Linked DNA regions of Yarrowia lipolytica. The protein of the gene in region 1 interacts with the protein of each later gene in a pairwise test. Links are inferred from orthologs where the notes say so. Each region holds a gene or a part of one and is shown in the gene's direction. Other genes may lie near its edges.

Region 1 (7,629 bases):
TCGTCGGTTGGACACCCTACTCCCTGGAGGAAGAACAGAGCGCTCGAATCAATAGCTCTAATTTACAGAAGTGAGCAGCAAGGGTTTTTGAGGTCTGGTAGAACGAGTTTGGAACGCATCTTTCTGATTGTCTTAGAAGCCAGTGTCGACTTTCCGTGAACACCAGTCGTCAATCTGCGAATCAGTTGTGCAAAGTGTTCATATTCGGATGCTACGTATGAGTGGAAAGATGGAATTTGAGCTGGAATTCAACTGAAGCAAAGAATATTCCCAATTGACTGAGTTGGTTCCAAAGTGTTCGGCTTTCGGGGACGACTTATGGACCTCTTTTCTCATCAAACAAAGTAGCGTCTGTTGCCAAGATCGAGTTGGTCTGGAGTTTTTTCAACCGTACCGGTATCAGACAGTAGCAATACGAGTGCCAATACTCGAATAAACGGTACAATATCATATCTAGAGCTCCCCCCTTACTATTCAGGTACAGTACAATACCTTCAAGTGTAGCGGATTCGTACTTCTAACGATTTCATCCAAGATTGCATCAAACCCACACCTTTCCACTCGTACTCACTCATACTCGTACTCACTCATACTCGTACTCACTCATACTCGTACTAATCTCCCCATTTTTCCTTCCACCTCTTTAGCGGAGATCACAACTTTCGAGGTTAACTCCGACCAGATTAACTCCGTAAAACGCAATTTCACTGAAATAATAAAAATAGTCAGAGAGATCACAGCTGGAATACCAAATCTGAAGAAACAGTACGCAATTTCGCAACCAACAAACCGGTACAAGTAAACCTCATACGCTCGTACTTTACTCGCACTCGCACTCGCACTCGCACTCGCACCCTACCCCCGAGACACTTCTGCACATACCTGATGCAAGACTCAGCCCCTCTGAAATTTCAGGGTGAAAAATGCCAAGTACAAGTGCAACTGGGATACTTAGCCGCTCATAGCCCTCGTAGTCAAATGCCCTAACCCATAGCGGTTTGCAACGCCAAAAGCTCTATAAATAAAACCTGTCTGTCCTTACCCAGCTCAATTGCGTCTGCTGGAGCTGCTTCAACTTCCACTTTCCACTTTCACTTTTCCACTTCCACTTTTCGGCACTGGGCTAATAAGATGCGGGCACATATGCCAAGACAATGAACACAACGTGGCAGCATGAGATTGTTTAGATAATTTGACCCGCCAGCGAATAGTGTCAAAGGGCCATTTTCAGCTTCAAAGGTCAGAAAAACGGCGTTTTCTCGTAACGTGGTTTTGTCATAAACCTGTGTCTCTCGTACATTTTCCGTACACATTTTATCATTGCATCCTTATTTTCACCCCTACACTTAATTCAATAGTTATTTTAAAATACTCAGTTAAATTGTCGTTAAATTGGGGTTAAATTGTCGTTCAAATGTCATCAAATGTCGTTAAATTGATCCTGATGGTCGTGAAATTGCCACCTACACACACACGTTCTGAACCCTAACCCCTTGGGCAAGGTGTGCATCGTGCGTTGTGTGTGCCTGTAAACTCCAGGCAAACCCTAACCTTGAGCCGTGGTCCAGCCAACCACAACTCAGTAGGGCTAGCATACGGTATTGTGGAGCGATTTCGAGGCGGATTTCGTGTGGATTGTTGTACTGAGGCTGGGTTGGGCCCATTCTGCCCTTGCCCCCGTTTATCCGTTTCCCTAACCCGCGTTTGCGGTCTCCTGTACTGCGCCATTTAGGACACATCATCAAGGTTGCCTAACTGTACACAAGTGTGCTCCCAACTCTTTCTTTCTTCCACCATCCTCAACATGTCACAGGATTTGCCCATTACGTTTCAGGAGCATCTCCAGCTTCAATCGCTGGGTGTTCCTGAGGCCTCCATTGGTTTCAACACATGTACTTTGCAGAGTGATCGTTTTGTTTGGTGAGTATGGCGAGCGGTGATGATTTGGATAGTCAGAGGCGCGATAGACGACAGTCACGGACAGGCGGGTGACAGATAGACGACCGAGGGTCACAGACGGGGACGGGATACGCAATCAACAAGACGGATGGAATCAATGATTGAAATTGGACGTGGAGTCATCAGGATGCAATGGTGCATGTTTGCGATTGTGGGGGAGGGGGGAGGGGAACACATGTGGTGATGCATCCTGATGTTACAACAATGGTGTCAACATGACGATTCTCCTGATTCGTCTGTCTGTCTGGATTGTGTCCGACTGGTGGATGGATCAGTCCATCGCGATCGGGATCGGTCGCGTCGCACTCGAGTCTCAACACCTACATGTCCTACATGTACTAACTCAGCGTTCGGGAAACAGCCAACACTGGCAACACCGTGGCAATCATCGATCTCCACAACAACAACAATGTCGTGCGACGAAACATCTCCGCTGATTCGGCAATCATGCACCCCACCGACTTTGTGATTGCCGTGCGATCCAAGGAGGGCGCCCTCCAGGCCTTCAACCTCGAGACCAAGCAGCGACTGGGCAGCAGTCAGCTCTCTGTCCCCGTGGTGTTCTGGACCTGGGTTGACGCTGAGACCATTGGCATCATCACCGAGACTGAGATTCTGCACTGGAAGGTTGGCACCACAGACCCCGTCAAGCTCACCGACCGACACCACTCGCTCAACGACTGCCAGGTGATCAACTACATCTCCAACGGCAGCTGGAGTGCTCTGGTCGGCATCACCCAGCGGGACGGCCGAATTGCAGGCCAGATCCAGCTCTACAGCAAGGAGCGAAACGTGTCGCAGGCCATTGAGGGCCACGCTGCCACCTTCACAAAGCTGCAGCTGCAGGATGGAGCCAGCCCATCGGATCTGTTTGTCTTCGCCAACCGAGGCAAGCTGCACGCCGTCGAGATTGACCACAAGGACGAGAATCCCGTCTACCAGAAGAAGCAGGTGGATATCTTCTTCCCCCCCGAGGCCGCCAACGATTTCCCCGTGGCTGTCTTTGCCGCCGAGAAGTACGGCGTTGTCTACGTCGTGACCAAGTACGGTTTTGTTCACGTCTACGACCTGGAGCAGGGTCTGTGCATCTACATGAACCGAATCTCCAGCGAATCCGTCTTCACCGCCGCAAGTTACCAGAAGAAGGGTGTCCTGTGTATCAACCGAAAGGGACAGGTGCTTTCCGTCGAGCTCAACGAGCAGAAAGTTGTCCAGTACATTCTGAGCAGTCTTGGTAACGCCGGTGTCGCTCTGGCTGTCGCCTCTCGTGGAGGCCTCCCCGGCGCCGACGACCTGTACGAGCAGCAGTTCTCCCAGCTGCTCAACCAGGGCGACTACGCCAACGCCGCCAAGGTGGCTGCTTCTTCACCCGGTGGCCGACTGCGAACCCCTGCCACCATCCAGAAGCTCAAAAACGTGCAGGCACCCCCTGGCGGCATCTCGCCCATTCTGCAGTACTTCTCCACTCTGCTCGACAAGGGTTCTTTGAACAAGGTCGAGTCTATTGAGTTGGCGCGACCCGTGCTGCAGCAGGACCGAAAGCAGCTGTTTGAGAAGTGGCTGCAGCAGGACAAGCTCGAGTCCAGCGAGGAGCTTGGAGACATTGTGCGACAGTTCGATCTCAAGCTCGCTCTGCAGGTCTACGTTCGAGCCAACGTGCCTCTCAAGGTTGTGGCTGCTTTTGCCGAGCTCGGTGAGTTTGACAACATTGTGCCCTACTGCGAGAAGGTCGGATACACTCCCGACTATATTGTCCTGCTTCAGAACATTGTGCGGGTTAACCCCGACAAGGGTGCCGAGTTCGCCACCTCGCTTGTAAAGAAGGGCGAGGATCTTAACCTCAACAAGGTGACCGACATTTTCCTGTCTCAGAACCACATTCAGGCCGCCACCGCCTTTTTGCTGGATGCGCTGAACCAGAACCTTCCCGAGCAGGGCAACCTGCAGACACGGCTTCTGGAGGTCAACCTGATCAACGCTCCCCAGGTTGCTGACGCCATTCTGGGCTCCGACATGTTCTCCCACTACGACCGTGCTCGAATTGCCTCTCTGTGTGAGAAGGCTGGTCTGATGAACCGGGCTCTGGAGAACTACGACGACCTCAAGGACATCAAGCGTGTTGTTGTGCACTCCGAGAACTTCCCTCCCGATGCTCTGATTGCCTACTTTGGCAAGCTCACCGTGGACCAGACTCTGGAGTGTCTCAAGGAGATGCTCAAGTTCAACATCCGACAGAACCTGCAGGTTGTTGTGCAGATTGCCACCAAGTACTCTGATCTGGTGGGCTCGCTCAACCTCATCAAGGTGTTTGAGGAGTTCAACTCCCAGGAGGGTCTCTACTACTACCTGCAGTCCATTGTAAACCTGAGCGAGGACCCCGATGTGGTGTTCAAGTACATCACTGCTGCCGCTGCCATTGGCCAGACCAACGAGATCGAGCGAATTGTGCGGGAGAACAACCACTACAACGCCGAGAAGGTGAAGAACTTCCTCATGAAGGATGCCCACCTGCCTGACCAGCTGCCTCTGATCATTGTCTGCGACAAGTACGACTTTGTGCACGACCTGGTGCTCTACCTGTACAAGAACCAGCAGTACAAGTTCATTGAGGTGTACGTGCAGCGAGTCAACCCTGCCCGAACTCCCAAGGTGATTGGTGCTCTTCTCGACGTTGACTGTGACGAGTCCATCATCAAGGATCTGCTCATGTCGGTTGTTGGCCAGGTCCCCGTGTCCGAGCTCGTCGAGGAGGTCGAAAAGCGAAACAAGCTCAAGCTGCTGCTGCCCTTCCTCGAGAAGACTCTCAACGGTGGTTCTCGAGACACCGCTCTGTTTGATGCTCTTGCCAAAATTTACATTGACAGCAACAACAACCCCGAAAAGTTCCTCAAGGAGAACAACGAGTACAACCCCCTGGTTGTCGGAAAGTACTGTGAGAAGCGAGACCCCTACCTGGCTTTCATCTGTTACGAGAAGGGCGGTCTGGACGACGAGCTTGTCAAGATCACCAACGAGAACAGCATGTACAAGCAGCAGGCTCGATACCTGCTGGCCAAGCAGGACGAGGCTCTGTGGAACAAGGTTCTCTCTGGCGACGAGCACAAGCGACAGCTTGTCGACGCTGTTGTCGGCACTGCTGTGCCCGAGTCCGACTCTCCTGAGGCCGTTTCCATCGCCGTCAAGGCCTTCATGGCTGCCGATCTCCCCGCTGAGCTGCTCGAGCTGCTCGAGAAGATCATTCTCGAGCCCTCTCCTTTCAGCGAGAACGCCAACCTGCAGAATCTGATGATTCTGACCGCCGTCAAGGCCGACAAGTCTCGAGTCAGCAACTACATCGAGCGTCTGGACCACTACGATGCCGACGACATTGCTCAGATCTGTATCGACAACGAGCTGTACGAGGAGGCCTACGAGATCCACAAGAAGCACGACAAGCACGGCCAGGTCATGAGCGTCCTGACCGATCACATCATGTCTCTGGATCGAGCCTCCGACTACGCCGAGAAGGTCGACACCCCCGAGGTGTACTCTCTGCTTGGTAAGGCTCAGATCGATGGTCTGCGAGTTGGCGATGCCATCAAGTCTTACATCAAGGCCAAGGATCCCTCCAACTTTGCCCAGGTCATCGAGATTGCCAGTCATGCCGGCAAGGACGAGGAGCTGATTGATTTCCTGAAGATGTCTCGAGACATTTCTCGGGAGCCTGCCATTGACTCTCAGCTGCTCTTCTCTTACGCTGCCACTGATAACCTGCGAGCCATGCAGCAGCTGCTTGACTCGCCCAACGTTGCCAATGTGGAGTCTGTGGGAGACAAGCTGTTTGCCGACAAGAACTACGCCGCCTCCAAGATTCTGTACTCTTCCATCTCCAACTGGGCTAAGCTCGCCGCTGTGCTCGTCTACCTCGGTGACTACCAGGGAGCTGTCGACTCTGCTCGAAAGGCGTCCTCCGTCAAGGTGTGGAAGCAGGTCAACCAGGCTTGTATCGACAACAAGGAATTCCGACTGGCCCAGATCTGTGGTCTCAACCTGATTGTGCACGCCGAGGAGCTGCAGGATCTCGTCACCCAGTACGAGTACCACGGCTACTTCACCGAGCTCATTTCTCTGTTTGAGCAGGGTCTCGGTCTGGAGCGTGCCCACATGGGTATGTTCACCGAGCTGGCCATTCTGTACTCCAAGTACTCCCCTGGCCAGATGATGGAGCACCTCAAGCTCTTCTGGTCTCGTGTCAACATCCCCAAGGTGATCCGAGCCTGCGAGGCTGCCCACCTGTGGCCCGAGCTTGTCTTCCTGTACTGCCACTACGACGAGTGGGACAACGCTGCTCTGGCCATCATGGAGCGATCCACTGATGCGTTTGAGCACTCCTCCTTCAAGGACATTATTGTCAAGGTGGCCAACCTGGAGATCTACTACAAGGCCATTAACTTCTACATGAAGGAGGTTCCCATGCTGGTTACTGACCTGCTGTCTGTGCTTGCTGCCCGAATCGACGTGTCTCGAGTTGTGCGAATGTTTGACAAGTCCGACAACTTGCCCATGATCAAGTCTTTCCTTGTGACTGTGCTTGAGCAGAACCTGGCTGCCGTCAACAACGCCTACCACAACATTCTGATTGAGGAGGAGGACTACGTGACTCTGCGAGATGCCGCTGACGCCTACGACAAGTACGATGCCATCGATCTCGCCCAGCGACTCGAGAAGCACGACCTTATCTTCTTCCGACAGATTGCTGCCCATCTGTACAAGAAGAACAAAAAGTTTGCTAAGTCCATCACTCTGTCCAAGCAGGACAAACTGTGGAAGGACGCTATCGACACTGCTGCCGTGTCGGGCAAGCAGGACGTGTGTGAGGAGCTGCTGCGATACTTTGTCGGTACCGGCAACAAGGAGTGCTACGTCGCAACTCTGTACACCTGTTACGACTGGCTGCGACAGGATGTCGTGGAGGAGGTCGCCTGGAGACACAAGCTGGAGGACTACACCATGCCCTACAAGATCAACGTCACCCGGGAGAGCTCTTCTCTGCTGCATGCGCTCCAGAAGGACAACGAGGAGCGAAAGGCCAAGGAGGCTGCCGCTGCTGCTGCCGAGAGCGAGACCCCCATCATTGGTGGAGGTCAGCGGCTCATGATCACCCAGAGCAACGGAATGTACTAGAGAAGGAAATTTGTGTATGATTGAATGTAATAAATGTCTTGTATGAATATGAATAATGAGAACAGTTTGAGCAGTGAGAGAATATGAACAAAAACATGAATAAACCGTCAGCCCAGATTGCAAGGGTAGATGACTAAGCGACAAGAAATAGGACTGTTGGGGAGCAAAAAGATTGAGCGGTAGGGGAATTGAACCCCTGGCACCTGCTAGCAACTGTTTGGAAGGCAGATATGTTACCACTACACCAACCGCCCGACTCGATGGAAATCGGAGTGCCGAGGTGTAATATAACGAGACAAATCGCGCCGAAAATTCCGATTTACGGGTGTTTGATAATTATGCAAAGATTTGTGAGCTTCAAAGAGTTGATTGTTTTTTTGGTTACGTAATTAGGATGTTTTTTGAGGTCCCCTTTTTTGTATTAACTAATGTGTCAAGTAAATTAGTTGTTTGAATGTTCAAGTAACTTTAATACTCCTAGAACGCGTGCAGAAACACGTTATTTTT
Region 2 (2,829 bases), on another chromosome or scaffold:
CTTGAACAAGACTGGAGACCTCCTTTTGAGCATCTTGGATTTCCTTCTTCATCTTCTCGAACATAGTCATGTTGTGTTTATCCTCTTCAAGGAGAGACGCCTGCTTGTTCTTGAGAGTCAGCAGAGCACTATCAATCTCGCTGCGCAGCTTCTGGTTGGCAGAAATGTCTGTGATAGTCTTGTTTACTGTTTCAAGAAGAGTAGCAAGAGCTTGCGAATCCCGTGACTTCTGACTGGACTCAAGCTTGCTCTTGGTCTCAGTGACGGTCGTAGTTTTAGTCACCTTTCCGAGCAGAGTGTTGAGCTCCTGCAACTCGGATCGAACTGACGGTGCTGCCGTTGAGCCACCCAGATCTGCAAAGCCAGTTCCTCCAATGCCACCCAATCCGGACCCTCCGATTCCTCCAAGACCTGAGCCTCCGATTCCTCCTAAGCCAGATCCCCCAATTCCCCCTAGACCGCCAAGTCCCGATCCACCAATGCCTCCGAGTCCTGTACCTCCAATTGAACTGCCTCCAAGGGCATCTGATCCGGTGGGCCCTTCGCTGCTGTCAAGCTGTCTTGTCTTGCTATTGATCTCCTCGATTACGTCGGGTCTGAAGACCTGTCGCTGTTCCCAGACCTCCACCACTCGCTTGATTTTGTTCCGGAGATCGGTGTTGCCCTCGCGGTAGGTGGATACTATTCCGTCCACAATGACAGTGGAAAACGCCTCGATGAATTCGTCTCTCTTCTTGGCCTTGGCCTGCTGGACCACATCGTTAGCGAGGTAGATCATAGCCAGTTTTCGCTTGAGAGGAATGTTTCGAATGTAGTCGTACCAGGTCTGTGCGATGGGTCCGCAAGCTCGTCGGTGGAACTGGATCCATTGAGACACCGAGACAATTGAGTCCTGGGTCTCATTGAGTGCCGACAGCTTCGACATGAAAGAGTCCACTGAGAAAGACATGTGGTGTTGTGTTGAATAGGATGAGATATGAAGTGATGATGCTTGCTAAAAGCCCCTGTGGATCTGTGTGTGTGTGTGTGTGTGTCAGTAACGTTCCTGTTGTCGGTTACGGTGTAAAAACAGGTGTGTCGCTTTTCTGGTTGTCTCCAGACAGTAAAAGCGGTCGCTAAAATGATTGTTCTGGAGAATTGCAGCAAACTGCAAGTCGGTTTTTAGGCCTTTCGTAACTTATTTACGTTGTTCTGCATAGTCCTTGTCTGACCAACTAATTAAAGTACAATTTCAACAAATATTTGTACGATGTTGCCATTGGGACTACTGTACATTTTGTACGTACAGTAATCCAAAGAAGGCTGGTCATTGACTGTGCCTGAGTACAGTCAGAACGGGGGCTCCAGAGATTGTGTGGGGCTACTGGAAATGTAGGGATAATGAATTGGTCGCATTGATCGGATTAATTTCAAAAAAAACAAAAACAATTCACTTCCATACGTGATTTTCCTCCTCGCACAACCACAGCCACCTTATCAACATTTTAGACTTTCATGACACGTGACGTCAATAAGCTCCACATCATCACCTCCCAAGATTCATCACCCAAATAACGCAACGTCACACACATCAACAATGGCTGACAAATTCCCCGCTCTCGAAGATATTGACGATCTCCCTCAGGATGTCGAAGTCGATGTCGACATCAAGGACACCCACGCCGACGAGGATGACTTCAAGAAGTCGTTCCCTTCCCTGGAGGACGAGGAGAACGATCTCACCGAGAACGCATTCAAGGAGGACTTCCCCGCCCTCGAGGAGGAGACACAGGCTACCACCGGCAACGTTGTTACTGCTGAGGCTACCGAGGATTCCTCTCCCGTCGATGGCCTTGAGACCTCCGTCAAGAGCCTGAACCTGTCCGAGTCCACCGCTATCAAGGAGTGGAAGGAGCGACAGCAGCTGGAGATTGAGCGACGAGACCAGCAGGCCGAGGCTAAGCGAAAGGAGACCATTGAGAAGGCCCAGAAGGCCATTGACGACTTTTACGAGAACTACAACTCCAAGCGTGATGAGGGCGTCAAGTCCACTCAGGAGGCCGCCAAGGAGTTCCTTGCAAGCATAGATGATACTTCCTCTTCCTCTGGCACCACCTGGGACCGAGCTCTGAAGCTGATTGATGACTCTGACACCGGAACCAAGGAGGGTTCTCGAGACAAGACTCGATTCCGAGAGATTCTTCTGTCTCTCAAGGGTGACGTCGACGCCCCTGGTGCCGCTGGTTACTAAATGTATGATAAGATAATGATTTAATGAAGTAACAATTAGTAATTTGTGTTGGTTGAAGTGTCACATTATGTGCTTTTGAGGTGCTGTACTAGTACACTACTTGTAGCTACTGCCACACACAAGTTCTGGCATCTTAATAGCCGTGTCAACTTGTCCATGTATACTGACACGTAAATCGAACGAACTCTACACTCAAATTCAGCACAAAAGCAGATGCAGCCAGAGTACGCGTTTTTCGGCTTTAAAAGATGTAGAATCAGCCCAGTAGCAGACATGATTTCTGTCACAGTCGTTTGGAATATCCCACCTAACAGTGTGCCAATCCTAGTCGTCCTGGACCTCAATCGGTCATGCATGAAAGCAGTGCATTGAGTAAGTTGTACAACTGGGACTGTAGTGTCGTATTCATCATCCTCAACATCTACACCACCATGCTGGTCTTGGTAACAACAGGTGGAACGGTGCCGTTTGAGGCTCTCATCGAGCTGGTACTCTCACATGAATCCATTACTACGCTTTCCCAGCTGGGATTCTCCAAAATGCGCGTTCAATACGGACGGGGCAATCGCCATATCTTCACAAAACATCACAAGGAAGGC

The links. The genes of interacting proteins can lie anywhere in the genome.
Region 2: the proteins of YALI1_A17177g (region 1) and YALI1_E39385g interact in binary tests that used the Saccharomyces cerevisiae proteins (3 or more experiments, as listed by UniProt). The link is inferred for Yarrowia lipolytica from reciprocal best matches to the Saccharomyces cerevisiae genes CHC1 and CLC1.

Annotation. Positions count from the first base shown.
Region 1 is NC_090770.1:1,712,408-1,720,036, reverse strand, and holds YALI1_A17177g (uncharacterized protein), read left to right. Parts: upstream 1-1,804; coding exon 1,805-1,920; intron 1,921-2,306; coding exon 2,307-7,122; downstream 7,123-7,629. UniProt on the Saccharomyces cerevisiae protein: Clathrin is the major protein of the polyhedral coat of coated pits and vesicles. In yeast, it is involved in the retention of proteins in an intracellular membrane compartment, presumably the trans-Golgi.
Region 2 is NC_090774.1:3,936,909-3,939,737, forward strand, and holds YALI1_E39385g (uncharacterized protein), read left to right. Parts: upstream 1-1,576; coding exon 1,577-2,230; downstream 2,231-2,829. Other genes in the region: YALI1_E39378g (uncharacterized protein), read right to left, coding at 1-949; YALI1_E39395g (uncharacterized protein), read left to right, coding at 2,581-2,829. UniProt on the Saccharomyces cerevisiae protein: Clathrin is the major protein of the polyhedral coat of coated pits and vesicles. In yeast, it is involved in the retention of proteins in an intracellular membrane compartment, presumably the trans-Golgi. The yeast light chain is important for cell growth.